4 linked regions of the Macaca fascicularis genome follow. The protein of the gene in region 1 interacts with the protein of each later gene in a biochemical or structural test. Links are inferred from orthologs where the notes say so. Each region holds a gene or a part of one and is shown in the gene's direction. Other genes may lie near its edges.

Region 1 (7,909 bases):
TGTCAGCTCCAAATACAGCTATTTGGTAACATGTTAAACTAGTCCCTAATCTCTGAAAGAAAGAGAAAACCAGATGGTAGTGAGACTTTCAGGGTTCTTCACCAAATTACCAAATATCTCAATAGGATAGAAAACAAATCTCCAAATATCAACTCATTTCTTTCTTCTTTTTATTTTTATCTTTGAGATAGGGTCTCACTCTATTATCCAGACTAGAGCGTAGTGGCACGATCCTAGCTCACTGCAGCCTCAAATTTCCGGGCTCAACTGATTTTCTCACCTCAGCCTCCTGAGTAGCTGGGACTACAGGCGTGCACCACCACGCCTGGCTAACTTTCTGTATTGTTTTTGGTTTAGAGAGGGTCTTGCCATGTTGCCCAGGCTGGTCTTGAACTAAGCTCAAGCAATCCACTCGACTCAAACTCCCCAAGTGCTGGGATTATAGGCAAGGGCCACCTTGTCTGGCTAAGTCATTTCTTTATATATTTGTGAAACCCTCAAAATTTTATGAGGGAAATGGTCTTTATTTAAAAATAAACTTTCAGGTTTGAAACAAAGGCAGAGGAAGTGTAAAAAGTGTATTCTAACCTGTCAGACTGTGTACTATTAAATGACAGTTAAAAGGAGACTGACAAAATTGCCTTTTAAAAAGATAAAAAGACAATAACTAACTTTGCACATAAAGGTTAACATTAGTGAATGTGTGATAACATCTGCACATAAAGGTTAACATTAGTGAATGTGTGACAATATCAATCACTTTCCTGGCCATCACAGCTGTGTCTTCTGCTTCACAACTAAACCATAAGGGTGGGGGGGTGGGGGTAGGGAAGCTTATCAATTGCCTGATTACTTTTCCACATTTAATGTAGCAGCTAATTCTACCCCTGTTATATGATGCATTAATTCCACAGTTATAACCCCAGAACCTAATACAGTGCCTGCTGGAAAGAAAATAAATTGACTAGTTGCAGCAGTTTGCAATATGAAGGGATTGTTACATACAACAGAAAATGGAATTATAGAGGACAGAAAACACTCACTTAACATATCGTGAAGAAGTCTGTTAGTTCTGGATTCTAAATTCTACTCAGTGATACTCTTGCTAAGTCCCTTTAGGCCACCATTACTTTCTTTATCTGTAAAACTGAGTGATTTTATTAAATTAACTTTGGCACCACTTCAAGCTACCTGATAGAAATGAAGTCGACATAAATTGTGATTATGTCCATTGAGTTTCAAAAGGCAACTTTCTTAGGGGAATATTAAATAATGCTTTCTGTAAAATATTTCGTAATGCAAATAATACTCAGGGCAATGTGAAAACAGTCTTAACCTATCTTTGCCGGCCACAATTTTATTTAGTTTCTGTTAAGCTAGTTTTCAAGCCTCTCCACCTCCAAGCATCTAGCACAATGTCTCTGCTCACAACACACGCTCTTAGGCCAACTCCAGAAGAGCACATCTATAAAATGCAAGTTCAGCATTTATTGAAGTTACTAAGGAGAGATGAACTGGGGATTATGGAAGAAAAGATAAGGGCAGTGAGGTGGGAGCTGGAAATCCAGAAGTCAGCTGTAGTTCTCAAATGTCCCAGGGGTCAAAATAATTTTTCTTTGCATCCATTGAGATAAAAAAAAAAAAAAAAGAATTTTAACACTAGGATTAAATTCGGCTCAGCGTTAAATCCTAGCTGCTTCAGAATAAAACTCTTACTTTAATTTCTCTATCGTACAGTCTAGGACATAATAGGTTTTCAATGAAGATCAAACGAGAACCAGGAAGTCAAGAAGCTCAGTTAAGAATAAAACAGGACCACCACCCAATATGTCACTGCGTATTTATAACTTAGCGTTTAAGTTTGTGGACTCTGCGTTCAAAAGGATTCTGCCACTCACATCTCTCTGCCTCACTACTCTCATCCGTAAAATGTGATCATAGGACTAATCTCAGAATTAAATGAGTTAATGTATGAGAAGCGCTTGCCAGTTCACGTTTGTCAGTGCACGTTTGACTTCCTTAATGAACAAAATCTCTTGAAGGCACGGTCCTACTAACTTCTGTACCCTTAACACAGAACTCCATACAATACTCAATGCCTGCCTTTTTTTTTTTTTTTTCCAAATAAAATAACTGACAATACACTCTAGGCTGCAGTCTTCTGGGAGACTGATGTGGAAAGCCGCGAAGGAAAAAGACCCGGGCTCCGCGACCCCCACCCGCGCGACGCCGCCGCCGCCGCGTCGTCACACGGAGCAAAGTCCCCTGGGAAGTGTAGTCTTCAGGACTTCGGAGGGACTTCAGCCACGGGCCGAAGAGCCAGGGAGTTGAGGGAAGGAAGGTAAGGGGAGGGTTACTGGGTAACTCAAAAGTGTCTGGAGCCCCAGAGGTGGGGTAAGACGCTCACCTGAGTCTCCCAACACCAGTACCTTCACCCGATCCAGGGACGCCATCTTGCCACTGCCTTCCTTGGGTTAACGCCTGTTCCGGGATTGTAAGCCAATCAGAGTTGGGCATGGAGGGCAGAGCTTTCAATTTCATTGGCCGCTCGGAGCGTGACTGTCTGAATCGAAGGCTTCACTGAGCTGATTGGCTGGTCTGGTAGCGGGGTGTTTCCCCAGCTGGTCTCAGGAATAGTGCGTTTTCTTTGTCGCGTAAGAGGCGTGGCTCATTTAAGCCGGTAGTTGAAGAGCTGAGGGCAGCTGTAGTGGGAGTGTTCCAGGATTCGCTTTGGTAAACCTTGTTCCCTGTTCCTTGTTCGGAGTTCCCTGGCCGGGCATTGCATTTCATGATTTCTTCTTCCTTTCGCTCCCTCTTAACTGTCCTCCCCTATTGAATTACCCTCTTGCCTTGGTCCTCTTGGTTCTCCAAAGAACCATTGACCCCGGAACGGCCCGTGTGGGACCTCGGGTAGGGCGGGCTTGGGTGCGCCGAGTGTGGCCCTAGACCCAACTGGGAGAGTCCGAGGGAGTTTGGGGTCTCGGGGTCTCGCAGTGGGGAGGAGTGCATATCACCGAACGCGTCTCGTGGAGGGCAGCTGGGTCCGGAGGTTTCGCAGTAGTTTGCCGCTATGTGTTCAGTGAAGGCGTGGAAAGTGCCATGAAATGTGGTACCAGAACACCGCAGTTAGATGTGTAGAATCCCAGGTTGTTCTAGAACTGGCGTAGTGGTGTACTGAAGTAATCTAACTGGACTCTTCGCATCCAGCTTTTTTCTCCATTCTGCAGTCAGCGCACACTTTTAACATCGTGAATTTGATCCACTCACCTCCAGCTTAAAACTGTTTTAAATTTAAGAAGAGAGTGCCCAATAGCCTGTCCAATTCTACCGTGGAAGCAAGAGTGGAGGAAGTGAAGCGGGGGGAAGCTGGCAAAATGAGCCGTGTTGGAACAACACGTGTCTAGGACACATATGGAAAGTTTTATGGAAGTACTTGTCTGGCTGTGCTAGATACTGGAAATTAATTGGTGAACAAAATGAAGTCTGGTCTTAGAGATAGACATGGAGAAAGTACAAGAAGGGAGAAAGAGCCATGGAACATGTGAGAGGGGATGATTGTACGCTACCTAATGGGGAGTCTGGGAAGGCCTCTATGAGGAAACGTCATTTGAGACTTGAAGGATGATTAGGAGAAGGGGGTTGGCTTAGTTGTAGGGGCAGAAGGAACAGCATGTGCAAAGCTCTGGTAAGCACGGAAAGCACATGTGGCTTATGGAATTGAGAATATGCTAGTGTGGCTGGATATGAGGCTGACAGAGTAGACAGAGGGCAGAGGGTGCATTCTTTTCAACTTTGTTTCTCTAGCTCCGTGCCTGGTGCACAATAGTCCTTAAATGTTTATATGATTAAAATACACGTGTCTGGACTGGGGTAGGGAGGTGAGGCTGGGATATGACTCATGGACTATGAAGATCAAAGGAAGAAACAAAAGGTCCTAGGAGGTACCACACTCAGAAGTCTCCAGAGACCAGCCATACTCCTTCCCTAATAATGCCAGCTGCTATTCGTCTTCAGCTTATTGTTTCCATGTGGGACCATGGGCTCACTTTTTCCTCAGATATTTCCAATTTTTCAGGAGGAGCTGGAAGTTGAAATTTATGTGAACTCTTACAATTTTTAAATGTTGACAACTAATTCAGAAAATTTTTGAAACATTTCTTTGGGTGAAACAATGCGTTGGGGGGCTGCCAGTTTGAGAATTCTTACCTAAGACCTCTAGAGATTGAGTAAGGAGATTCAGTGTGAGTGGGTAGTGGTGGAGGAGAGAAGTTAGTGGTCAGGAAGGAGGATTTTAGAATGCACAGATTTTGAACAAGGTGGCACAGCTTCATTTCATTCCTAAGCTCTAGTTTCATTTGTTCAGCTACCTGCTGGGCATATTCAGAGGAATATCCTATGGTATTTCCTCAGAGACACTTCTAAAAATGATTTCCTCATTTCTTCCATATCTGCTCCTCTTCAAGTGTCACCTATTTCTCATGGCAGTACTTTTCCTAGCTACACTGGCTCAAAACAGAGCTATTTAAGATTTTTCCTACTCTCATATTCTGTATCCAATATATTTTGTTGGGTCCTTGTTATTTTTTTTTCTGTAATAACTTTCATTCATTCTGTTCTCTTCTTGCAATTTTTTGCCTTCTTCCGTAGTTTGATTTTATACACCCAGTACTTCCACATTGCCTCCACCTTCACCCATTTGAGTCCATTCTTCATATTGGTATAAGAGTCGTTTTTCTAAATAGGGGATTTATTATGAATGCCAGTACTTAATTGAACTCTCATGCCAGCCCTGAAAGCAGAACACTTTGCATTAATTATCTCACTGAGTTCATACATTAACTGTGTGAGCAGGGGACCGTTAATCACTTTTTTTTTTTTTTTTTTGAGGGTCATGTCCTGTCACCTAGGCTAGAGTGCAGTGGCTCAATCATGGCTCATTGCAGCCTTGACCTCCTGGCTCAGTTGATCCACCTCAGCTGGTACTACAGGTGCACAGCACCATACCTGGCTAAGTTTTAAAATTTTTATAGAGGTGGGGTCTTACTGTGTTTCCTAGGCTGGTCTTCAACTTCTGGACTCTAGCAGTCCCCCCATCTCGGCCTCCCAAGGTGTTACAATTACAGGTATTAGCCACTGCACCTGGCCTAATCACTTTTTATATATAAGGAAACTGAGTCTGAGAATTTTCTGGGGTCAGGGGGGCTAAGAAATACTGGAACTGGGATTTAAACCCCAAAACTGTTGGATTGTAAAGTCTTCACATCACTCCCTGACTTTAGTCTTCACAGCTCCCTAGGGTGTTTTAGGCAAAGGAAACAGGCTGAGCGATTAGTGGCACAGGGACCTCTCCATGCAGGATGAGCATTGGCAGGATATATAGTAGGTACTTTCGCTGTATAGTAGAGCCACCTAAAGAGCTTTAAAAATTTGTGTGATGCCAAATCTGGCCACCCCGAACCACCTGAGACAAAACCTTTAGGAATGGGGCCCATGGTCAGTATTCTTGAAACGTTCCCTAGATGATTCTGCTTTAAAACCAGGCTTGAGAACTATTAGTCTGGGACATGGCATGTATGGAGCAGGGAAGGAGAATACAATAGTAGGAAATAATCCTGGAAACAGGTTATGTTGACATTTTTTTGCTGTTCTTTGTTGAATGTTTCAGAAGCCATATGTTGTGTTCTGACAACTGTTGAGGATGTAAAACAACAAAAAACCAAAACTGGGTTCAAGTACAATGTACAGACCAAACTGAGAAGGAGAGCAAAGTGTGTCCAGTAGTATGGCTGTGGTACTACTTTGGTGTCTAGCCCAGGCACTTGCCGGGCATCCTTAAGCCCTGGGGTAGCGGAAAGGCTCTAGGTTCACAGATTTGGATCTAGGTGCTACTTTGTTATATCTTATAATATATAGTCATACCTGAGTATTTATAACCTAAAGTACGTGTTTTCTTTTGACTGCCTTTTCCTTTATTACACGAAGGGCCTTATATTTTCCCCCCAAAATATGTGCATAGATTGGTTATAGATTGGTGTGTAGAGTTTCCTTATAGTATGATACTATGGATATCAAAACATTTCTTATTAAAAGAGTATTAAATCTGTTGCGGTTGATAACCATTGATTTCAAATAAAAAGGTCAGTTGAAACTAGTATTAATAACAGAATATGATTCTCCATGAAATATTTCAGTGGGATGTCTGTTAAAAATTATCCTGTGGAGCCTGGCCAAGATGGTGAAACCCTGTCTCTACTAAAAATTCAAAAATTAGACAGGTGTGGTGGTACACGCCTATAGTCCCAACAACTCAGGAGGCTGAGGCAGGAGGATCGCTTGAACCCGTGAGGCAGAAGTTGCAGTGAGCTGAGCTCGCGCCACTGCACTCCAGCCTAGGTGACAGACTGAGACCCTGTCTCCAAAAAAAAAAAAAAAAAAAAAAATTCTGTGCTGGGTGTGGTGGCTCACATCTATAATCCCAGCACTTTAGGAAGCCCCCAACATGGGTGGATCCCTTGAGCTCAGAAGTTCGAGACCAGCCTGGGCAAAATGGTGAAACCCTGTCCCTACAAAAAATACAAAAATTAGTCAGTCATGGTGGTGTCCACCTGTAGTCTCAGCTACCGGGGAGTTTGAGGTGGGAGGATTGCTTGAGCCCAGGAGGTTGAGACTGCATTGAGCCAAGTCACACCACTGAACTCTAGTCTGGGCAACAGGGCACCTGTCTCTATTAAAAGAAAAAAAAAAAAATTCCCTGTGGGCTAGGGAAATTTAACTTGATTTAATCTATGTGGATAGTCTAGCCATTTTTAGTTTGGAACATATTAAGTTGATATGGAAGCTGTCCTTCCTAAGCACTTTAATTACATTCTTATTAATCACAACAACTCCATTGAGGTAGTTGATACTATCCTTATATCTTAGAGAGTAAAATGTGGCTTGAAATTGTTTAAGGGATTTGCTCAGGATTACATAGTTACCAAAACACAGGCTGGTACTCTGAATTTCAAAGCCCAGGTTTTTTTTCTTTTTTTTTTTTTTTGAGACTGAGTTTCGCTGTTGTTGCCCAGGCTGGAGTGCAGTGGCGCAATCTTGGCTCACCGCAACCTCCACCTTCAGAAGCCCAGGTTTTTAAATTAAACCACATGCCAATATGGGCTTTGAGAAGACAGCTTTCTGGGTCATGGTATGGAAATGAGATACACTTAGTTTCTGCTTTGTTAAGGGATTCAGTATTTAAGAATATTTTGGGCTGCGCTCCCTCTCTCATTTTCTACCTTTTTAAGGACTGGATGGTCTTTCCTTGATTATGAGATTTAATTTTTCAAGGTTAGTAAAACTATCTGGATCTAAGTATTACTTTCTTTCAGTTTTACACCAGTTCATGATTTTGTCAAACACCCCAGGTGGTGATTACTTATGTGTTTATTGGTTTGTTGTGATATTATTGTGAAAGCATGAGTATGTAAAACATCCTAGAATCTTGGTAGAAAAATTTTACTCAAGAAAAGAAACAAAGACACTTTTAGGAAATGCTAACTGCTAGTTTTCTCAGGGTTTCCAGCATTCCCAAAGAATAGTGAGCATTTCATGTAGCTTTTTTTGTGTTTCTCTTCTGAAGTAAAGGAGACTTGACATAATATATTGTTTTATAAAAAGTTACTTTTTAATCAAACATACTCTAGATCATAAAAGTAGCTATTTAAGAAATATGTAAAACTTTTTGTGTGTAATCTTTTGTGCACTCTAGAGGAAAATCTTGTTCTGCTCTGTTAAATGCTTAGATATTAGGAATGTTTTAAAACTCTTTGAGTACTTCTCTGGCACTGCAAGAATGGTGGATATGATTACCATGTTTTTATACCTGGCTAATTTTCTATTTTTTTCTGAATTCAGTATATTTAAAGTTGGA
Region 2 (7,480 bases), on another chromosome or scaffold:
GGCCGAGGCAGGAAGCTTGCTTAAGGCTAGGAGTTCAAAACCAGCCTGGGCAAAGTAATAGCAAGACCCCAACTCTACAAAAAAATTAAAAAATTAGTTGGGGCTGGTAGTGTGGGTCTGTAGGCCTACATAGGAGGCTGAGGTAGGATGATCGCTGGAGCCCAGGGGTTCAAGGCTGCAGTGAGCTATGATTGCATCACTGCACTCCAGCCTGGATAATAGAGCAAGACCCTGTCTCAAAAAAAAAAAAAAAAAAAAAAAGTCCGGGTGCCGTGGCTCAAGCCTGTAATCCCAGCACTTTGGGAGGTCAAGGCGGGTGGATCACGAGGTCAGGAGATCAAGACCATCTTGGCTAACACGGTGAAACCCCGTCTTTACTAAAAAAAATACAAAAAAGTAGCCGGGCGAGGTGGCGGGCGCCTGTAGTCCCAGCTACTCGGGAGGCTGAGGCAGGAGAATGGCGTGAACCTGGGAGGCGGAGCTTGCAGTGAGCTGAGATCCGGCCACTGCACTCCAGCCTGGGGGACAGAGCGAGACTCCATCTCAAAAAAAAAAAAAAAAAAAAAAAAGAATGGCAAAGGCCCAGGTCAAGCTCCTGGGTGTCCCTGTAAGTTAGGTTTGGTAGGCCCACCGGAGGCCTCTCCTTAAAGGAGAACATTCAGAAGTTGTGCCCACCGATGGGCATTTTTGGCCAGGGTTTATCTGGGCAAGGGAGGGGACTGGGCTGGGGGCTTTCCCAGAGCCCCTGCCATCAGAGGCTCTAGAAAGGACTTTGGGAGCCATTAAAGTGTTTTCAACTGGGAGGTTGTAGTGTGATCTGGCTGTTGTGGGGAGACAGACTGTGGGTTTGAGGGCAGTTAAAGGGAGACGGGGTAGAAGCAACTGGTCTGGTCTAGGTGAGTCCTGGTGGGCATTGGGGGCAGTGGAGGTTATGAGATGTGGCTGATTCTAGAGTGTTTTGGAAATGGTATATATGGACCTTAAATCAAGAGCTTAAGGGTAATTTGGATCATATTAGCCACATAGGTCACGATAAATGGTAACATCTGTAGAGATTTTGGTGCCTTAATGTCAGTAAATGTTGCACAATGAGATTCTTTTTATTTATTTTATTTATTTATTTTTTGTGATGGAGTCTCTTGTTGTCCAGGCTGGAGTGCAATGGCACGACCTGGGCTCGCTGCAATCTCCACCTCCCAGGTTCAAGCCATTCTTCTGCCTCAGCCTCCCAAGTACAGGTGCCTGCCACCACGCCCAGCTAATGTTTGTCTTTTTATGAAGTTTCGCCATGTTGGTCAGGCTGGTCTTGATCTCCTGACCTCAAGTAATCCACCTGCCTCAGCCTCCCACCGTGCCCGGCCTTTTTATTTTTAAAAAATAGATATAGAGTCTCACTATGTTGCCCAGGCTGGTCTTTTCTTTTTCTTTTTTTTGAGACGGAGTCTCGCTCTGTCGCCCAGACTGGGGTGTAGTGGCCGGATTTCGGCTCACTGCAAGCTCCGCCTCCCGGGTTTACACCATTCTCCTGCCTCAGCCTCCTGAGTAGCTGGGACTACAGGCACCCGCCACCTTGTCCGGCTAGTTTTTTTGTATTTTTTTAGTAGAGACGGAGTTTCACCGTGTTAGCCAGGATGGTCTCGATCTCCTGACCTTGTGATCCGCCTGTCTCAGCTTCCCGAAGTGCTGGGATTACAGGCTTGAGCCACCGCGCCCGGCCTTTTTTTTTTTTTTTTTTTTTTTTGAGACAAAGTTTCACTCTTGTTGCCCAGGCTGGAGTGCAGTTGCGTGATCTCGGCTCACTGCAAGCTCCGCCTCCCGGGTTCCCGCCATTCTCCCGCCTCAGCCTCTGAGTAGCTGGGACTACAGGCACCCGCCACCTCGCCCGGCTAGTTTTTTGTATTTTTAGTAGAGACGGGGTTTCACCGGGTTAGCCAGGATGGTCTCGATCTCTTGACCTTGTGATCTGCCCGCCTCGGCCTCCCAAAGTGCTGGGATTACAGGCTTGAGCCACCGCGCCCGGCCGGTCTTAAACTCTTGAGCTCAAGCGATCCTTCTGCCTTGGCCTCCCAAAGTTCTGGGATTACAGGCGTGAGCTACCACACAATGAGTTTCGATACGCATGCATTCTGGAGATGCGTAGCCATTCTAGTTACTTATAAAGTTTTGGAAAAGAAGCCCGGAACCAGGTGCCTGCCGTACAGAATGGGGAAGTCTTCATTACTTCTACATTCCTCAGATAAGGAATGTTGCCTTCGAGGGCCTGCTCGATGGCCACCAGGTGCTCTTTTTCTGTTTAATTTTAATTTGGAAGTAATTTCAAGCTTTTAAGTTGCAAAAATAGAACACAAGGCTCGCTCAAATTCCCCTTACCCAGATTTATCAAAGGCTACCATTCTCCTCCCTTGTTGCCAAGTGGTAAGTTGGTTTTGAGCGTCTAGAGCTTGGCCTAGGGTGAGGAAGGGCATTCCTAGAGCGGGGCACCGCCCAAGCAAAGCCAGGGACCCTGAGAGGCTTTGCTTCCTGCTCCCCTAGGCTCGGCTGGAGCGGGACTTGAGCAACAAGAAAATCTACCAAGAGGAGGAGATGCCCGAATCGGGCGCAGGCAGTGAGTTCAACCGCAAGCTTCGGGAGGAGGCTCGGAGGAAGAAATATGGCATCGTCCTCAAGGAGTTCCGGCCCGAGGACCAGCCCTGGCTGCTCCGGGTCAACGGCAAATCTGGCAGGAAGTAAGTGGTGGGGCGGTGGCGGTGCCGGCTTAGCGACCAGTCCACATCCCCCCTCCACTTACAAACTTTGTGGGGTACCCTCTCTGAACCTCGGATTCCCACTGCTGCGATGGAGGTGCTGGCACTTCCATCCCTGTAGGGTTTTATTTTTTATTTATTTATGTTATCTTATTTTACTTATTTATTTTTTTGAGATGGAGTCTTGCTCTGTCGCCTAGGCTGGGGTGCAGTGGCATGATCCTGGCTCACTGCAACCTCCACCTCCCGGTTTCAAGCGATTCTGTTGCCTTAGCCTCCTGAGTAGCTGGGATTACAGGTGCCCACCACCACCAGGCCTGGCTAAGTTTTGTATTTTTAGTAGAGATGGGGTTTCACCATATTGGTCAGGCTGGTCTCGAACTCCTGACCTCGTGATCCTCCTGCCTCTGCCTCCCAAAGTGCTGGGATTACAGACGTGAGCCACCCACCCAGCCTACTTTATTTATTTATTTATTTATTTATTTATTTTGAGATGGAGTCTCACTCTGTCACCCAGGCTGGAGTGCAGTGGCTCGATCTTGGCTCACTGCAAGCTCCGCCTCCCAGGTTCATGCCATTCTCCTGCCTCAACCTCCCGAGTAGCTGGGACTACAGGCGCCTGCCAACACGCCCGACTAATTTTTTTGTATTTTCGGTAGAGATGGGATTTCACCGTGTCAGCCAGGATGGTCTCGATCTCCTGAGCTTGTGATCTGCCCGCCTCGGCCTCCCAAAGTGCTGGGATTACAGGCGTGAGCCACCGTGCCCGGCCACCCAGCCTACTTATTTATTTTGAGACAGGGTCTCACTCTGTCACCCAGGCTGGAGCGCAGTGGTGTGATCGTAGCTCACTGCAGGCCCCAACTCCTGGGCTCAAGAGATCTTCCCACCTCAGCCTCCTGAGTAGCTGGGACTACAGGCGTGCCCCACCATGCCTGGCTCATTTTTGTATTTTTGGTAGAGATGGGATCTTGCTGCATTGCTCAGGCTGGTCTTGAACTTCTGGGGTCAAGCGATCCTCCTAACTTGGCCTCCTAAAGTGCTGAGATTACAGGCGTGAGCCACCGCCCAGGCCCTGGGGTTGTATTTTTGAAGATAGTTCACTGAGTTGGTGCTTGTGCCTGGCTCTGAGGCAGCTCTGAGTACACAATGCAGGAAGCTTGGGTGGCCAGCGCTGGGGGCTCATGACACTTGAGATGACCTCTTAGAGGGGGCAGACTGAGGCCAGAACGGGAGGGGTCCAGGTTAGGTTGATCAAGGGTGCTCCAGGCACAGCAGTTGGGTGATAGTGAGAGACACAGGCAGCTCACACAGGGCAGTAGGTGCCAGGATGTGCTGGACCCAGTGGAGCCTTGGAAAGCTGTAGGCAGGGAAGGGGCGCTCACCCAGATTGCCTGGACCTTTAGGGTAGAAGAGAATGAAGTGGAGGCCTTAGGAGGCTGGGCAGTTGTTTAGGCTTGAGGGAATGGTGGCCTGGGCCAGGTGTCCACTTCAGATTTGGCCATGCCATGGCTGGGCATGGTGGCTCACGCCTGTAATCCCAGCCCTTTGGGAGGCCGAGGCGGGCAGATTACTTGAGATCAGGAGTTCAAAACTAGCCTGGCCAACATGGTGAAACCCCGTCTCTACTAAAACTGCAAAAATTAGCTGGGCGTGGTGGCGGACACCTGTAATCCCAGCTACTCGGGAGGCTGAGGCAGGAGAATCGCTTGAAGCCGGGAGGCGAAGGTTGCAGTGAGCTGAGATTGTGCCACTGCACTCCAGCCCGGGTGACAGAGCGAGACTCCATCTCAAAAAAAAAATATCTGGCCATGCCTTCCCGCCCCATCCTCTCACTTGGCTCCTCATTTTCCTGGGTATGGCCCACAAGTAGCAGAGCTGGAGGCAAATGTAGACGGTCTGACTGCAGGGTTGGGCTCTTCTGAGATAATCTCACACGGTCTTTCCAGAAATGATCCCAATGCGCACATGCCCAGCCCTTTGCAGTGTAGGTGTGCCGGCGCTGTTCCCCAGATGTGAGAATTGACGAGGCCCAGCTGGTTGAAGGCCTCATGGGCATTCCTTGGTCTTCCTCTTATGGCAAGTGCCATAAAGGAGGCAGGCCTGGGGGACACAGGCAGGTCTGGGCTGGTCCCTGTGGGCCAGGCCATGATCGTGGCTCCCTGCAGGTTCAAGGGCATCAAGAAGGGAGGCGTGACAGAGAACACGTCCTACTACATCTTCACCCAGTGCCCCGACGGGGCCTTCGAGGCCTTCCCCGTGCACAACTGGTACAATTTCACGCCACTGGCCCGGCACCGCACGCTCACTGCCGAGGAGGCCGAGGAGGAGTGGGAGAGGTGAGTGGACTGTGTGGCTGCTGGGGACAGAAGTGAGGGAAATGGGGTGCCTTGCTGTGGGTATATCACCAGGCCCTGTGCTGGGAGCTGGGGACTCAGGGGTAACCAGGGCAGACCCCACTCAGCCATCTCGGAGCTGTCAGTTCAGGGGGAAACAGATAGGAGGGGGTGACCTGGAGCTCAAATTGGCAGAGCAGAATGGGATCTAACTGTCCCCTTGGCTTCCACAGGCCGCAGGTCACACAGCCTGATCCACTGCAGGGCAACAGCTCCAGGCAGGGCATCCTGGGAGGGTTTCTCTAGCAGTGTCATTGGCCTCAGAGGTGAGGCGGGTACAGTTAAGGGCTGTGGAGAGAGACAGTGCATGAGGCCAGTGCAGAGTGACTGTGGGCAGGGGGACGAGGCTGGGGGCCCAGAGCACTTGGTCTTGGATGTTACGGCTTTGGATGAGACCTTAGGGCCACCACTGCCCTAGGGTGCTTGCAGATGGTGGGGAGGGCACTTTGGATGCATCTGCAAAATGGCATTTGCACAGGTCACAGATGAGCAGATGCTCAAAGAGTTGATGGCTCACAAAGGGTTAAAAAAACACCTTTTTCTCTCTTTGCTTTAGTGGGTTTTTTTTTTTTTTTTTTTTTTTTTTTTGAGACTGAGTTTCATTCTTGTTGCCCAGGCTGGAGTGCAGTGGTGCAACCTCAGCTTATTGCAACCTCTGCCTCCCGGGTTCATGCCATTCTCCTGCCTCAGCCTCCCGAGTAGCTGGGATTATAGTTGGCCACCACCACGCCCAGCTAATTTTGTAATTTTTTTTTTTTTTTTTTTTTTTTTGAGACGGAGTCTCGCTCTGTCACCCAGGCTGGAGTGCAGTAGCGCGATCTCAGCTCACTGCAAGCTCCACCTGCCGGGTTCAGCAAGCTCCACCTCCCAGGTTCACGCCATTCTCCTGCCTCAGCCTCCCGTGTAGCTGGGACTATAGGCGCCCGCCACCACACCTGGCTAATTTTTTGTATTTTTAGTAGAGACGGGGTTTCACCGTGTTAGCCAGGATGGTCTCCATCTCCTGACCTTGTGATCTGCCCACCTCGGCCTCCCAAAGTGCTGGGATTACAGGCGTGAGTCAGCGCGCCCAGCCTAATTTTGTATTTTTTTGTAGAGACAGGGTTTCCCCATGTTGGCCAGGTGGTCTCAAACTCCTGACCTGAGGTGATCTGCCCGCCTCGGCCTCCCGAAGTACTGGGATTACATCCATGAGCCAGTACTGGGATTACATCCATGAGGCACCACGCCCGGCCTGCTTTAGTTTTTAGTCATTTTCTTTGGTTTTAAAATTTCTGGAGTTGCAGGTTGGCTTAGCTCCAAAAGCAACCCCATAAATGGCACGCAGTCAGAGCATCCTCCTCTCCAGGTAATGAGCCTCCGAGCCTGTGGGGCAGTTTCTGTGCCCCTGGACCCTGGAACAGCATCCCCCAGTCTTCCTGCCTGCTCCACGTTGGTTGAGTTCCTGGGGCTCCATTGTAAAATCCATCGATCAGTTTTTGCTGGGAGGGCAGGTTCCCTTTTGCTGCATTTTCCTTAGAATCTGCTTTGAAAGTTTTAGGGAGAAGAATTTGGCATTTTATAGAATTGTGTAAAACCTGGATGTTAACCAAAGGAGAAATGCCATCTCTTTTTTGAGATGGAGTCTCGCTCTGTTGCCCAGGCTGGAGTGCAGTGGCGCGATCTCAGTTCATGGCAAGCTCCGCTTCCCAGGTTCACGCCATTCTCCTGCTTCAGCCTCCCGAGTAGCTGGGACTACAGGCACGCACCACTACGCCCGGCTAATTTTTTTGCATTTTTACTAGAGATGGGGTTTCATTGTGTAAGCCAGGCTGGTCTCGATCTCCTGACCTTGTGATCTGCCTCAGCCTCCCAAAGTGCTGGGATTACAGGCGTGAGCCACCGTGTCCGGCCTTTTTTTTATTTTTATTTTTTTGAGACAGAGTCTCACTCTGTCACCCAGGCTGGAGTGCAGTTGTGCCATCTCAGCTCCCTGGCTCACTGCAACCTCCACCTCCCGGGTTTAAGCAATTCTCCTGCCTTAGCCTCGCGAGTAGCTGGGACTACAAACGTGCGCCTCCACACCCGGTTAATTTTTGTACTTTTAGTAGAGAAGGGGTTTCACCGTGTTGCCCAGGCTGGTCTCGAACTCCTGGCCTCAAGTGATCTGCCCGCCTTGGCCTCCCAATATGCTGGGATTACAGGTGTGAGTCACGGTGCCCGGCCAGAATGCCATCTCTTGATCAGATGTTAAATCTACTTAGCTAAGAACTGTTCAGGCTGGGCACGTGGAGAGTGGATCACAAGGCCAGGAGTTCAAGACCATCCTGGCCAAGAGACCAGCCTGGCCAATTTGGTGAA
Region 3 (7,190 bases), on another chromosome or scaffold:
ATTCTAATGGCTAATGTTGTCTTCTTTCTTTCCTTTTCTCATTTTTTCCCACAGGGATGGTTGCAGAGGAGTACAATGCCTTCTTCTACTCACTGGTATCCCAGGACACACAGGAAATGGCTTACTCAACCAAGCGGCAGAGATTCTTGGTAGATCAAGGTTATAGCTTCAAGGTACATATCCATTTGGCCTCTGGTTAGACTAGGACCAAGGCCTTCTTGGTACCCTGGCCTCCAGGAGAAGTGAGGACCACTGTCAGCAGGCAGGCACCAAGCATTCGGGGATTAGAGGCCTTGCCTCAAACTCCGTTTATCTCTGCACGAATCACTGAGGGCAGCTGTTGGCGGGAAGCGTGCCGTCCTGGCAGGACTGAGGTGCCACGGCACTATGGCCAGCACTGTGTGAGTCTGAGCCACGGCACTATGGCCAGCACTGTGTGAGTCTGAGCCACGGCACTATGGCCAGCACTGTGTGAGTCTGAGCCACGGCACTATGGCCAGCACTGTGTGAGTCTGAGCCCCGCAGGGTTGCTTTCTCAGGGATGCCAATCCAGGTAGCTAGGAGAGCCCTTCCTTTCATCAGCTGGTAAGCTCCAGGCCTTAGTGTGCCTCAGTTTGCCTCCCAGACACCAGAGCCATCCCTGTACTACGAATCAGGTATTTTAATAATTGGGAAATTCTAAAGCTTTGGCTGACTTTCATTGGCTGAGGCATTTGCTTTCTTTCCTGTTACACAAATATTATTTTTATGTCAGTATTTGGTGTCCAGAAGGGCTTTATATTTTGGGGATAGATGGAGGGTTCTAGAAGTAGGGGAATTAAATTACCCCTATGGTCCACTAAAAGGACATCCCTAGAACATCAGACTCCCAGGTTCTTGATTGCAAAAGACTGCAATCCAGGCTGCCTTTTAGATACATTTTTAATGTGTCTCTTTATGCGTTGGTGAGAATTCCCATTATTGGCCTTAGGAGGACGGGGTTGTCTCGCCTCCCCTCTTTTAGCTAGAGGCAGGGACACTTTTCAGACCTCATGCTGGCCTAAAGGACAAGATGCTCGGGTTTTGAGCCCAGTTTTTTGGAGGATTTGCATTGTGACCGTTTTATCCATCCCTGAAAATCCCTGCTGGTAATAGCATTCCTACCTCCTGATTCCTGCCGAGCTGTGAGGGTCAGAGGAGCACCAAGTCAGAAGGAGCTACTCTGAATTCTTTGAAAGGTGACCTCGACAAAAAGGCACAATACCGTACCTTAGTAGTTTGTGTTGGTTGGAGCTGTGTCTTCGGTGCTGCCTGTTGAGGAGCAGTCGTTGGAGTTCCCCGAGTCATGACCTGGAGGGGTTGGGCCCTGGGCAGACGTGCACATCGTCTATACTCTGGATCCCTGCCCAGAAGGACTCAGATCCTTACTTCTAGGAATTTTCCTTTAATTAACGTTATGAGAATTGGAGGGAAGGAGAGTTCCCTTTACAGAATCAACCCAGTTTTCTGCGGGGATAGGGAGCCCTTGTAGTAAGTTATCCCCAGAGAAATGAAACCCAGTCTCCACCGTGCTGTTCTTACTGTTTCAGAGAAGTCCTGTCAATATCTTCCTGATATCCTATCGTTTTCATTTTCATGTGCTCATTCCTGCTGAAGCCCCAGTTGCTGGGCACAGCAGATGCCAGGGACCTTCTTAAAGGGCCACAGCATGTGCCTTCCAGTCTCTTGTCCGTTCCTCCTTTGCCTGCTCCAAGATGTGAAGGCTGCCCGAAGGAGCCTTTTACACTCACTAAGACTCTTCCTGTTCATCTTCCATACGTGATCATTTAGATGCTATGTGTTGGGGGCACATTTCTCTGAAATTCCTATGTCCCTCTGGTCTTGAGATCATTAGTCAAGCTCCGTGTTAAAAGCGGCTCCTGATGCTGGTCTCTGGAATTCTAGGGAGAAGCTCTCCATTGTTGGCCACCACGGTGGCTGGGCCTGGGGAGGGAAGTGAACAGAGCAGGTGGACCCAGGAGAAGGCAGAGGAGGGTTGGGGAGAGAGAGCAGAAGGGAGCATGTCTGCTGGCTTGGGCTTTGCAGGTGATCACGAAGCTTGCTGGCATGGAGGAGGAAGACTTGGCATTTTCGACAAAAGAAGAGCAGCAACAGCTCTTACAGAAGGTCCTGGCAGCCACTGACCTGGATGCCGAGGAGGAGGTGGTGGCTGGGGAGTTTGGCTCCAGATCCAGCCAGGTGAGTAAATGGGTAAGGAAGGTCCAGGTGTCAGTGCTCCCACAGGGCAGCGTTTGTAGACACAGACACAGACATGTAGTCTGTGGGCCCCTGGATGGGCCCATGGGATTTCTTTGGAAATGGAAAACACGGAAGAGATGAATAGAAACAACCCCTGTTGCCCTTTTGGTGTGTGCCCCTGGTCCTGTTGCATACAGCTGACCTCGCAGTGGCTGTGACTCGTCTCCTGCTTTACTCACACGAGTATTCGTTAGATCTTGATGTTGAAGCCCAGGATGGCAAGCAGGTGACCCCAGCTCACCTTGGTGGCGACTGGAGGGAGCGTGATAGGCCAGGGCATGTAGTTCCCCACCCAGGGCTGCCATTCCTGGTCGTGGGCACACAGTTCTCCTCTGGGTCCTCCTCAGTGGTAAAGCTGAGCCCTCTAGCCCCTAAGACAGCTCTGAGGTCAACTCTTGTGGTAGCTTCAATACTTAACTTTGAAAAATGTAGAGTTCTGTGAAAATACTCAACCTTTCATTTATTCTACAAATTTGCCTGCTGTAGAACAAGCAAATATATGGTCTAATTAGTGAGAGCATTATGGAGAATTATCAGGCTCCAAGGGGAGAAGCGCACTTCAGTCAGGTGCGTTTGAAATTCAGTTGCCATTAGAGCCGGAAGGTGAGCAACTGCTGGACCGAGGAAGCAGCTGTCCCTGCGGAGGGGCCGTCCTCCCTTGAGCCTAAGGCTTTTCTCCCCGACTAGGGAGCTCTCTCCATGGGAACCCAGGAGCGTGCTCTCACTGCTCTCACTGGTTGTGAGGAGGTGCCTGGTTCTTTCTCCTCACAGGATAGAAATGTCAGGATGGATATGGTTATCCCCATTTTACAGGTGAGGTCATTGAGGTGAGGTGCAGACACTAATTCCTTGCCCCAGGGTTACTCAGGGACAGGTGCAGCCAAGAGTCAAGCCCAGAGCTTTCTGTCCTTCCACTTGATTCAAAGCCTCATGGTGGTGTCTCAGGAGATTTTAAGGGACTTCTGCCCTAACTGTTAAAAAATTCTGTTCAGAACAGGTATAGTGGCTCATGTCTGTAATCCCAGCACTTTGGGAGGCCGAGGCGGGAGGATCAGTTGAGTCCAGGAGTTTGAGACCAACATGGTCAACATATGGAGACCCTGTTTCTCTCTTAAAAAAAAAAAATTGTTTAGAAGCTGTTGTTAAGTGAGGCAGTGTGCCTTATGGTTAAGAACAGTCTGAAGCCCGGCTACCTGGGTTCAAGCCCCATCTCCTTAAGAGCGGTGTGATCTTGGCGAGGTTACTTAATCTCTCTGTGTCTCAGTTTCCTCTTCTTTAAGGTGTGGATTATAATAGTTTTGAGGATTAGAGGAGATAATGCATGTCAAATGCTTAGAACAATGCCTTGAGACACAGTAAGCGATCTGTAAACATTATTTAAAATGATGTATTAAATTTATGTACGTCTTATAAAATTTGCTGTGATCATAAATATTATAAAAGGAGTGTCTTTTCTCCTGGAGACTAACATGGGCTGTTCCCGGCAGGCATCTCGGCGCTTTGGCACCATGAGCTCTATGTCCGGGGCCGACGACACTGTGTACATGGAGTACCACTCATCACGGAGCAAGGCGCCCAGCAAACATGTGCACCCTCTCTTCAAGCGCTTCAGGAAATGATGCTGAGGCGGGGTACTTCGTTCAAGACCGGCGCTTGGCACCCTCGTTGGAAAGGGATTTTCAGCGTAACGTTTTCCTTCGACCTCCTTGACCTTCCCTCCAGCGTTGGCCAAACTATGCTGAGGAAACTGCCTCAAGGGCTTGGCTCTGCCTTCATGGGTCATCTAGGGTTTATTGTCTCCTCTTGCCTTTATCATCTAGGAGGAGACAATATTTTTTCAAACTTTTTGGGGAGTGGGGTCATTTCTGTATATAAAAAATTTTAATATTTAAGGTGTATTTATCTTACTGTTCTGAATAAACAGAATGGACCATTGAACCACTCTTCATTGTACAAGTATTTTTATGCTTCGTCCTGGGCATGGGTTATGTCTGGATGACCAGCCTCCATCAAGGCCCCTACTTTGTAGCCAGCACAGATGAGTAAGATGGAGCCCCTCCCCAGGGAGCTACCAGGGAGATGTACCTTGAGATAGAAGAAGCGTCAGCAGGAAATACCTGGGGAACGGGGAGGGTGATCCAGCTGGAGGAAAGAGCCTGGGCAGTTGACTGTGGTCCCTGTGCACAGCTTAGCCTGGTGGATTCAGACTGGGGCTGCAACCGCACAGCTTCCTGCTGTTGTGGTCGTTACAGCTGTTCCTGCAACCTTGTCCAAGGTAGACACCTACATCATGAAGGCCTTCCAGATTGGCTCCTGGTGGCTCATCTTCTCTGAAAGAGTGACTTCTTGTTTCTCCCTCAAAGTACGTTTTTAGATATTGCTGAGGGGCTAGATTCCTCTTCTAATAGCAGTTTAGTGCCCTTGGGTGTTTTAATTGCTACTTTGTTTTTAATGGCTTTGGGCTTTTGTCTTCTGTTTCTGGTATGAAAGCAAAGGTGTTGAGGAAAAGACAGTCCAGGCAGGATTGCTCCTTGAAAGGTAGACACCCATGAGGCATATCTGCCTTGCAGAAAGACTTGTGATTCTGAGGAGGAGGCTCACTCCCTCGAACAGGAATCAGCGCTCACACTTGGGGAGGGAGTGTTGAAACCCTGGCTACATAAGGCTTCCGAGTGGAGTCCCTGCCCATCCCCACAGCTCGGCAGCAGCTTCCTGTACTCAGCTCCAGCACAGCTGGGCTGCTGTCTGTGATGCAGCCACAGACTGTCTGAGGAGAAGAAAGTATTAGGTTGGTGCAAAGGTAACTGCGGCTTTTGCCATTACTTTTTTTTTTTTTTTTTGAGACAGAGTCTCGCTTTGTTGCCGAGGCTGGAGTGCAGTGGTGCGATTTCAGCTCACTGCAACCTCTGCCTCCCAGGTTCAAGCAATTCTCCTGCCTCAGCCTCGCAAGCAGCTGGGACCACAGGCACCCGCCACCATACCCGGCTAACTTTTTGTGTTTTTAGTAGAGACAGCATTTCACCATATTGGCCAGGCTGGTCTCAAACTCCTGACCTTGTGATCCGCCTGCCTCGGACTCCCAAAATGCTGGGATTACAGGCGTGAGCCACTGCATCCGGCCACCATTACTTTTAATGGCAGAAACAGAATTACCTTTGCACCAACCTAATACCTCTTTCATCAGGGGGCTTTGAAGCAAGAGCCACCCGCCCCACATTCTGCCTCTCTGAGCTGACCTTTTGGTGACAAACACTCTCATAGTCTAGTCAGCAGCTGGTGCTGCCAGGCATCTAGCCACTCTTATCAGGGCAAACCCCAGGAACCAGTACCAGGGCCCTCACTAGGAGGAGAGGGCCTGAGCAGCCCCGTCTGAGGTGCACGCTTGAGCCCACAGACTCGCCTGTCATGTAACCCTGATGGGTTGGCACTCAAATGTTCAAACTTGGCTGTAACCATTACTCTTTTCAGTCTCGCCTCCTGTCATACCTTTACACTTGAGATCCTCAATACTGAGCACTTCCTGTATTTTCACATTTCTGGCCCCCGTTTTCTTCTCTATTGACAATGTTGAATTTTACCTGAACCCTGTGGTCCTAGGAAACAGACACATTTAAAGGAGTCCCTTGTCCTTGGTGTTCTGGAAAATAGTTTACTGCAGAGAACCATCCTTCCCAGTATGACTCATGAATGCTGCCCTTGAAGACCCCAGTCGAGGCCAGACACAGGCCTTCCAAATTCCCATTCTTTGCCTCATAAATTAGCTAAACTGCTTGTCCCCAGTGATCAGTGGGAACAAAATGCTTGTGAACCAGACTTTGGTTTAGATTCTCTTCTACCCCCGGACCCCTGAACTTTGGCTCACCCTCCCTTCCACCCCTGGAGAGAATAGACTGGACTCAGGGTAAGTCACTGATTGGATCTACTGTCCCACCATGCCACTCTCCTTCATCCCACTTCTTTTACTTACTTTCCCTCCCTATAAAAGAAAACCCCTTTGCCTAACCCTGAGACAAACAGATCTTATGTTCAGTGCATTCTCCCTGCTGCAGTAGTACGCCCCTCCCCACCACTTTGCAACCATCCTTTCAAATAGTCTCCCTTTACCAAGTCCAGATTTTTTCTTCTTATTTTTCTTGACATTGTCTGTTCTGTGAACTTAAGCTCCAGATTTTTTATTTGACGTCATGTAACAAGTTTTTATCTAAATGTCCAAATGTCATTGGTAATACACAAAAATACAATTCATTTTTATATATCAGTTTTTATATATCGTTTCTCAGTCATGCAGTCATGCTAAACTCAGTTCTAGGAAATTTTTCTGTAAATTTCTAGAATAATTCAGCTAAAATCAGTGAAGATACAGAAGACTTGAACAATACTATTAACCAACTTGACCTAATTGACGTTTACAGAATATTCTGCCGAGTAACAGCAGTGTAAGCATTCTTTTCAAATACACACATCACTTGCCAAGATAGAATCCATGTCAGGTCCTACAAGTCCTAATATATTGGAAAGTATTTAAGCCATACAAGCCGTAATCTGTGCCCACAGTGCGATTAAGTTAAAAATCAATAGAAAAAGAGTGGGAAACCCTCAAATATTTGGAAAAGGTAGTGGTTAATTTTAGGTGTCAGCTGAGTTAAGGGATGACCGCTCACTGGTTAAGCATTTTTGGGTGTGTCTGTAGGGGTGTTTCCAGGAACGAGGAGCATTTGAAGCTGTAGATTGAGTAAAGCAGATCCACCCCCACCAACGTGGGTGGGCCTCATATATCCATCAAGGGACCACCAGATAGAGCAAAAGGGTGGAGGAAGGGTGAATACAAACTGCAGAATACAATATTGATATATTAAAAAATGCAATTGGCCGGGCGTGGTGGCTCACCACGCCTGTAATCCCAGCACTTTGAG
Region 4 (7,480 bases), on another chromosome or scaffold:
ACCTGTAATCCCAGCACTTTGGGAGGCTGAGGCAGGTGGATTGTTTGGGACCAGGAGTTCAAGACCAGCCTGGACAACACGGTGAGACCTTGTCTTTACAAAAGAAAAGGCAGAAGTTAGCTGGGTGTGATGGCATGCACCTGTAGACCCAGCTACGTGGGAGGCTGACGTGGGAGGATCGGTTGAGCCTAGGAGGTCAAGACTGCCGTGAGTCATGATTGGGGCTCTGTGGTTGATAGAGGGAGACCCTGTCTCAAAAACAAAAAGAAAAAAAAAAAAAAAAAGAAGGAGACCCTGTCTCAAAAACAAAAAAAAAATCTAAAAAAGAAAAAAGAAAGAATTGTAATAAGATCATTATTTGGACAAAATAGAACTAGCAGAGGTTATAATAGAGTTAAGTGACATAAACTCATAATATACAAAATAGTGATGTGTGATTAATGTGAGTTTGTTTTTCCCATAAGATTGTAAATAGGACAGTTGTGGGGAGTCAAGGGTAAATATTGGTTAATCTCTGTAATGTAATATTTTATGTAAATATGAAGTTTTTTTTTTTTTAAGCTCTTAACTCACATTTGAAAACAACATGACATCTAAATAATTTAAAATATTTCTTTTCCTCTCCTTTAGGAATCAAGGAAGGACTGAGGTAAGATTATTTATATGGAAATTTTAGTTAAAACTTGAGACTATCTTACTTTTCATTAATAATAGTGAAGAAAGAGTGTTTGAATTTTAGAAAATGCCACATCAAGTGCATGACTGATGGTTAGGAATACATAAAGGTATAAATGCCACCCTTGTGTGAATGAATGGACTCTTTTCTAGTTGTTCATTCTCAGCATTTTTCTTCTTTGACCTACATTTCCCGTCTTTTGGTACCATGAAACTGAGTAAAACTTCTGTAATACTGTACTAATACATTAGTATTACTTCAGTGCGACAAAGGCATTTGATACGGAGTTTTTGAGGACTTTAGATTCTGACCCATTGAGTACAGTTTGTGATTTACAGTACTTATCACATAGTAGAGAGATATTTAATAAATACTTTATGATCTTCCTACATGCTTGGGAGATGAGTAATTTTGTTTATAAGTCTGTTTAGTGTAAAATGTGAAGTTCTTTTGGGAAGATCTGATATCTGATACAAAGCATTTTGAAAGAACACCTAGTATGTCTTTTTATTCTAAACCTTATTATTGAGCTGTCCTTGTAACTGTTGAGTTGTATTTGTCAAAACATTGAAAAATAATACCATGTACTCATATGGTTGTCATTAAGACCTACGAAATAAATACATCCTCTGTTTATGGGAGTGTTTAAGCTTTTCGGAGTAAATAGTTCACACCCCCACATCTTAAGTACAATTGCTTTCTTAATATTCTTAAAATATTCGCTTATTCAGCAATATTATTTTCTTCTATAAGCCAGGCACTCTGCTAGATCTTAAGGATATAAAATATAGTAAGACATGATCCCTTGACCTCAGACCTCAGAGATTTTTAGGAAAAAAGAAAAAAGATGATTTTTTTTTTTTTTTTTTGAGATGGAGTCTCATTCTGTCATGCCTGGCTAATTTTTGTATTTTTAGTAGAGACAGGGTTTTGCCATGTTGGCCAGGCTGGTTTCAATCTCCTGACCTCAAGTGATCCGCCTGCCTCGGCCTCTCAGGGTGCTGGGATCACCAGCACCACTGCGCCCAGCTGGAAAAAATAATCTTACCCCTGTTTTGGAAAGAGTTCTTCAGCCACAGACTAGAGAAAACATGAAAACTGTCTTTTTTTTATGATGGTAGATTAGCCCCATTGTTCTTTTTGTTTTTGTTTTTTATTTTCTTACTAGTTGTAGTAATTTTTATTTTATTTCGGGGGTACATGTGTAGGTTTGTTACATAGGTATATTGCATGATGCTGAGATTTGGGCTGATATTTATCCTGTCACCCAGATAGTGAACATGGTAACCAATAGGTAGTTTTTTAACTCTTGGTCTCTTCTCTCTTTTTGGAGTCCCTAATGTCTATTGTTCCCATCTTTAGGTCCATGTCTACCCAATGTTTAGCTCCCACTTGTAAGTGAGAACATGTGGTATTTGGCTTTCTGTTTCTGCACTAATTCACATAGGATAATGGCTTCCAGCTGCATCATTGCTGCAAAGGATGTGATTTTGTTATTTTTTTATTAGCCCCATTATTCTGACAAACGGGAATAGATTGTCTTTCTCTCTTTTGATTTTTTTAAGAGACAGGGTTTTGCTGTGTTGCCAAGGTTGGAGTGCAATGGCTTTTCATAGTGAACTACAGCCTGGAACTCCTGGCCCAAGGAATCTTCTTACCTCAGCCTCCCAAGTAGCGGGGATTATAGGTGTGCACCAGTGTGTCCAGTTTACATTCTCTTTTTGTGAGCAAGTATTAAGGAGTTTTTAATAAAGTTAAAGTGTTTAATGAAATGACTGGAAAACACATTTAAAAACAATTTGATTTATAACTAAAATTTTTTTATATGTAGTTTGAATACAAAAGTCTGTTATAATCTCTGGTTAATGTGTCTATTAGGTGTCATTTACTTTGAATGAGGACCTTGCAAATATTCATGATATTGGTGGAAAACCGGCTTCAGTCAGTGCTCCTAGAGAACACCCATTTGTCTTGCAAAGTGTTGGAGGACAGACATTAACAGTGTTTACTGAGAGCTCATCAGGTAAGTGGGAATGGAATTATTTAATGTGATTCCTGTACTTGTTGTATAGATTTTCTGTCTCAACATACACTCCTGTTTGCTTTTTTTTTTTTTTTTTGCGATGGCGTTTCGCTCTCGTTGCCCAGGCTGGAGTGCAGTGGCACAATCTCAGCTCACTGCAACCTCCACCTCCCAGGTTCAAGCGATTCTCCTGCCTCGGCCCCCCGAGTAGCTGGGATTGCAGGCATGCACCACCATGCCCGACTAATTTTGTATTTTTGGTAGAGACGAGGTTTCTCCATGTTGGTCAGGCTGGTCTCAAACTCCTGACCTCAGGTGATCCGCCTGCCTCTGCCTCCCAAAGTGCTGGGATTACAGGCGTGGGCCACCGCACCCGGCCTCCTGTTTGCTTTTTTAAGGTCATTACCAAGACTGTTCCACCTCTCATTTTGTGTACCTCTGTTATTCATACTATGCTACTTCTCTGCTCTGTGTACTTTCTTGTGATTAATGAAATTTTGGCCATTACTTGAGAAGGGTTTAATTTCTATTTGGGATATGAAGATATAGAACAAAGCAGATGGAAGAATGTGGTTCATCAAGCTGCCTTCTCAGATGTTGAAGAAACAGTATTCTGAATTTTGCCAAGATAAGGTCATCGTTGCTTGTTTTAGTAAATTGATATTTAGCAAGTATAAGTTGTACTTTAAAAATACAGCTCGATATTAGGGAATATTTTAGTCTGAATTTTTCATCTTGTATGCTTTGTATACCAAGGGGACCTTTTTATTGCACAGAGATAACTTTTAATTGATATTGGCTTCTAAGAAGTTTCTGTGTAGAGTTTTAAGATTGTATGTGTTTGCAATGAGATATTTTAACAGTTCAATAAATCAGAAGCAAATGTTTCCATTTGTGAATTAAATACAGAAGGAACTTTCTTGTGGCACACACTCAGCATGAGTATATTTTCCATGTTTTGGGATTTTTATCTTTCACTGAGTTTAGAATACTATTAAAGCAACAGGCCACCTTAGTTTAATGGAGCTAATTTTCTGCTATCTGGTTCAAAAAGCTTATTGATAAAAGAAAACATTTGTGATTTTGTTGTATTTCATCAAACATTTCAAAGGAAGCTGTAAGAAATTATAGTATGTTAAGAACACCATTGGTTAAAAAAAGGTACATCCTCATAAATTTTTTTGTGGTGTCTTCGATTACCAATAGCTACATAAAATGATCTAAAAATTATTCTTTTTTTCTTGGATGTACAGTATAACAAAATGGTAAATTATAATTCTTCAGTTATGTAGTTGAAGGTAGAAGATTGGTTTCACTGCAGTTTTCTGATGCTCTAATAATTAATAGTTTAGTAGTATGGGAGGCAGAAAAGTAACAGTTTCTTCAATACATCCATTTTATACTGGAGAAGATTCAACCTTTCAACAAATATTTATTGCATGCTGCATAGTTCAGGGCATAGTATAGACCTATCAAAAAATCTGAAATTTGTCTGAAATTAAAAGCGCATTTGAATTCAGTATGTTAAAGAGTTTTAGTTTTGGCGGGGCGCGGTGGCTCGTGCCTGTAATCCCAGCACTTCAGGAGGCCGAAGTGGGCAGATCACCTAAGGCCGGGAGTCCGAGACCAGCTGGGCCAACATGGTGAAACCCTGTCTCTATTAAATAAAAAATTGGCCAGGCGTGGTGGCGGGTGCCTGTAATCCCAGCTACTCAGGAAGCTGAGGCAGGAGAATCGCTTGAACCCAGGAGGTGGAAGTAGAAGTGAGCCGAGATTGCACCACCGTACTCCAACCTGGGTGATGGAGGGAGACTCAATCTCAAAAAAAAAAAAAAAGAGTTAAGGAGTTTTAGTTTCAACAACTCTATTCCTTTTGATTGATGAGATTTAATAAGATCCATTGAACCTGTGAGGTTTTCTCTACTTTTGTGATTGTCCTAGAGTGGAAGAGGCATGGCACCAAGATAGTAAAAAGGAGACATCGCCTTGATAAAAGTTTGAGGTAGGGAAACTTGAACTTTTTTTTGTAGAAAAAAGTACCCTATTACAGATTTTTTACATCTTATTAAGTGACTAATTTTTTGAAAACATGATTTATTTCTGGTGCTTCTACAAAGACAGTGATTTAGAAAGCTAACATTTGTTAGCCTCAAAATTAGTCTTCCATTTTACATTTTAAAAATACTTTAGTGTTGTGCTCTTTTTGAACATTTCATGTTCACATTTCTGGCTACAGTGTACTCTGAAGGGAACGTGGTTTTATGAGGATTATCTTGGCAGGGATATGGAAAAGAATTAAGATTGTCATCCTTATTCTGGGGCTTGGACGGTATGTTCTTGCTTTGCACAACTGTGATAATACAAATGCAGTTCTAAGTTGCTATTAGTTATAATACACTGTAACAATATTTTACTTCTTAACCTCATTATTTCTGTTTCAAGTCATTGTTCCTTGATTCTCTTTGCACCTTTCTGTGCCTTAATTTTCTCATTTATGAAATGAGGATAATTTGTTGACATATAAAAATATGAATACATTTAAACACTTAGAACAATGCTCAGTATATAATGGATGCTCAAATATTAGCTGCTGTTGTTAATATTACACCTTGTTTTTAAACACTTTAGGTTTCAAGTTTAAGGCAAGTGCATGCATTTTAGCTCAATCTGGATGTGTATCACTTGATAAAATTCAGCCAGTAGGGATTTTTATATTAAATGTTTCTCAATTGCCTGCATGACCAAGAAAAAAGCTCTAGAATTGTGAGTAGTTTATCTCCTCTGAGGAGTCTTATGTATTTGCTGTTTCTAGTCATTAAAGCAGCAGTTATACAAGTGGGTTCCTTGTATCTCTTGGAAGTCATAAATAGTACAATGGGCTCTGTGACTGCTGCGACGTATTTAAAATGTTAGATGTATGTTGTATATGTGCATTCTTTTCTATAGGATGGTTCCAGCGCTTTCACTGGCATCTCAGAGGAATCTGTGGCTCAGAAAAGCTACAGAACCACTATCCTAGTTTTAACCTTAGTTGGTCATGAACCTGCCAAAGTATAAGTGACTAAGCCATTTTATAGGGAGTAAGCTGTTGATTTTACATTGAAATATAAATGAGGTAGGCATTATCTGGAATATTTCTACATTTTCTATCAAGCATAGAACCATACTTGCTTTTCTAGGCTCTTCATTTCTTTTTATTAGTGCACAGGTCTATAAAATGTAGAGTTTGTAAGGAAGCTTGAAATCACATTTTAGTTCACTATGTTAGGAGTTTTAGTTTTAATAACTTTATTCCTGTTAATGTGATTTTGCTAGTTTTTGAGAGGCCTCCTTTGAGCCTATTTTCCTAATGATAGAATTTGGCACATTTGGGTCTTCTAGGGAGAGGGAATTAGAGGGGACTAATGATAAGTTATACAGTATTTTCTCTTCAATTAAAATAATCTGCGTGTCATCAACATTTTATGAACTCAATTAATGTATTTCTAATTCAGTGTTCCTGTCTGAAAGAATATATTTTATTTTTATAGGCTATTTTGGGTTACCCCTTCTTCCACTTCTGCTTTCCTCTATGAAAGTCGAAATGATCTATTAATATTTCTCTGTTATTTTCATGGAGCTCTCTTATCCATTACCCTTATCTCTGTGGAAATACCTCATGTGTTTGGCCTTGCATTTCCCCGCCTTGGGTCTTCAGTTTAGTATTTTCATCTACTATTTATTGATAACTATAGATAATTTCTATTTTTTCTGCCTTTGGCATCCTCCTTGGCATTCCTACTTTTATTCAAAGTTAGATTTTCTTGTTTTTTTTTTAGAGGCGGTGTCTCACTCTGTTGCCCAGGCTGAACTTCTGGGCCCAAGTGATCCTCCCACCTCAGCCTCCTGAGTAGCTGGGACTACAGGCGTGCACCACCATGTCTGGCTCTTAGATATTATTATTTATAACTGCCAATTCTAGACAAAAATGTTCATTCATCTGTTCAATAGATATTTTTGGTGCTAAGCCCTGTGCTAGAATAAGATTAGCCTCCTGTGCACTGAGGCAACTGGTATGTGAATACAAGTGCTCCAATGGAGTTATGCACAAAGAGGAAAAAAAGCATGTGTACTTTGCCTGAGGGAACTGGCTTCAGAAGTAGAGATAATATTTGAGCTGGACCTTGAAGTATATGAATAGGACGAAAGATAGTAAAGATAAATTCATTTTTCTAGCCTTCAAGGATCCAATTCTTCACTTGGCATTCTTTTGCCTGTCATCCTCTGTCATAGCTATCTAAAAAATCATTAAATAAAAATTCTTTTTTTTTTTTTTTCAGACGGAGTCTCGCTCTGTCGCCCAGGCTGGAGTGCAGTGGCGCGATCTCGGCTCACTGCAAGCTCCGCCTCCCGGGTTCACGCCATTCTCCTGCCTCAGCCTCCCGAGTAGCTGGGACTACAGGCGCCCACAACCGCGCCCGGCTAATTTTTTGTATTTTTAGTAGAGACGGGGTTTCACCATGGTCTCGATCTCCTGACCTTGTGATCCGCCCGCCTCGGCCTCCCAAAGTGCTGGGATTACAGGCGTGAGCCACCGTGCCCGGCAATAAAAATTCTTTAAAGCAAAAAACTTGGTTATGGATGTCATAGTCTAGGTTAGAGATGAAAAAAGTTTGAATTGGTGCAATGGGAGTGGAAAAGATGGATCATATTCCAGGGATAATAGAGGTAATTTTTTTTTTTTAAATCTTTTTTGCCATCAGATAAGTCGACCAGAATTAGAGGTTATTTTGACAGCTTTT

Evidence for each region.
Region 2: the proteins of GTF2E1 (region 1) and GTF2F1 form a complex in vitro, tested with the Homo sapiens proteins (3 studies listed by BioGRID). The link is inferred for Macaca fascicularis from reciprocal best matches to the Homo sapiens genes GTF2E1 and GTF2F1.
Region 3: the proteins of GTF2E1 (region 1) and ERCC3 form a complex in vitro, tested with the Homo sapiens proteins (2 studies listed by BioGRID). The link is inferred for Macaca fascicularis from reciprocal best matches to the Homo sapiens genes GTF2E1 and ERCC3.
Region 4: the proteins of GTF2E1 (region 1) and GTF2F2 form a complex in vitro, tested with the Homo sapiens proteins (2 studies listed by BioGRID). The link is inferred for Macaca fascicularis from reciprocal best matches to the Homo sapiens genes GTF2E1 and GTF2F2.

Annotation. Positions count from the first base shown.
Region 1 is NC_088376.1:162,456,245-162,464,153, reverse strand, and holds the start of GTF2E1 (general transcription factor IIE subunit 1), read left to right. Parts: upstream 1-2,682; 5' UTR 2,683-2,733; intron 2,734-7,893; 5' UTR 7,894-7,909. Other genes in the region: RABL3 (rab-like protein 3), read right to left, coding at 2,408-2,453.
Region 2 is NC_088393.1:7,164,652-7,172,131, reverse strand, and holds part of GTF2F1 (general transcription factor IIF subunit 1), read left to right. Parts: intron 1-2,532; coding exon 2,533-2,726; intron 2,727-4,912; coding exon 4,913-5,083; intron 5,084-7,480. UniProt on the Homo sapiens protein: TFIIF is a general transcription initiation factor that binds to RNA polymerase II and helps to recruit it to the initiation complex in collaboration with TFIIB. It promotes transcription elongation.
Region 3 is NC_088386.1:4,281,597-4,288,786, forward strand, and holds the end of ERCC3 (general transcription and DNA repair factor IIH helicase/translocase subunit XPB), read left to right. Parts: intron 1-54; coding exon 55-173; intron 174-2,064; coding exon 2,065-2,217; intron 2,218-3,764; coding exon 3,765-3,896; 3' UTR 3,897-4,220; downstream 4,221-7,190. UniProt on the Homo sapiens protein: ATP-dependent 3'-5' DNA helicase/translocase. Binds dsDNA rather than ssDNA, unzipping it in a translocase rather than classical helicase activity. Component of the general transcription and DNA repair factor IIH (TFIIH) core complex.
Region 4 is NC_088391.1:24,395,325-24,402,804, forward strand, and holds part of GTF2F2 (general transcription factor IIF subunit 2), read left to right. Parts: intron 1-630; coding exon 631-649; intron 650-2,554; coding exon 2,555-2,699; intron 2,700-7,480. UniProt on the Homo sapiens protein: TFIIF is a general transcription initiation factor that binds to RNA polymerase II and helps to recruit it to the initiation complex in collaboration with TFIIB.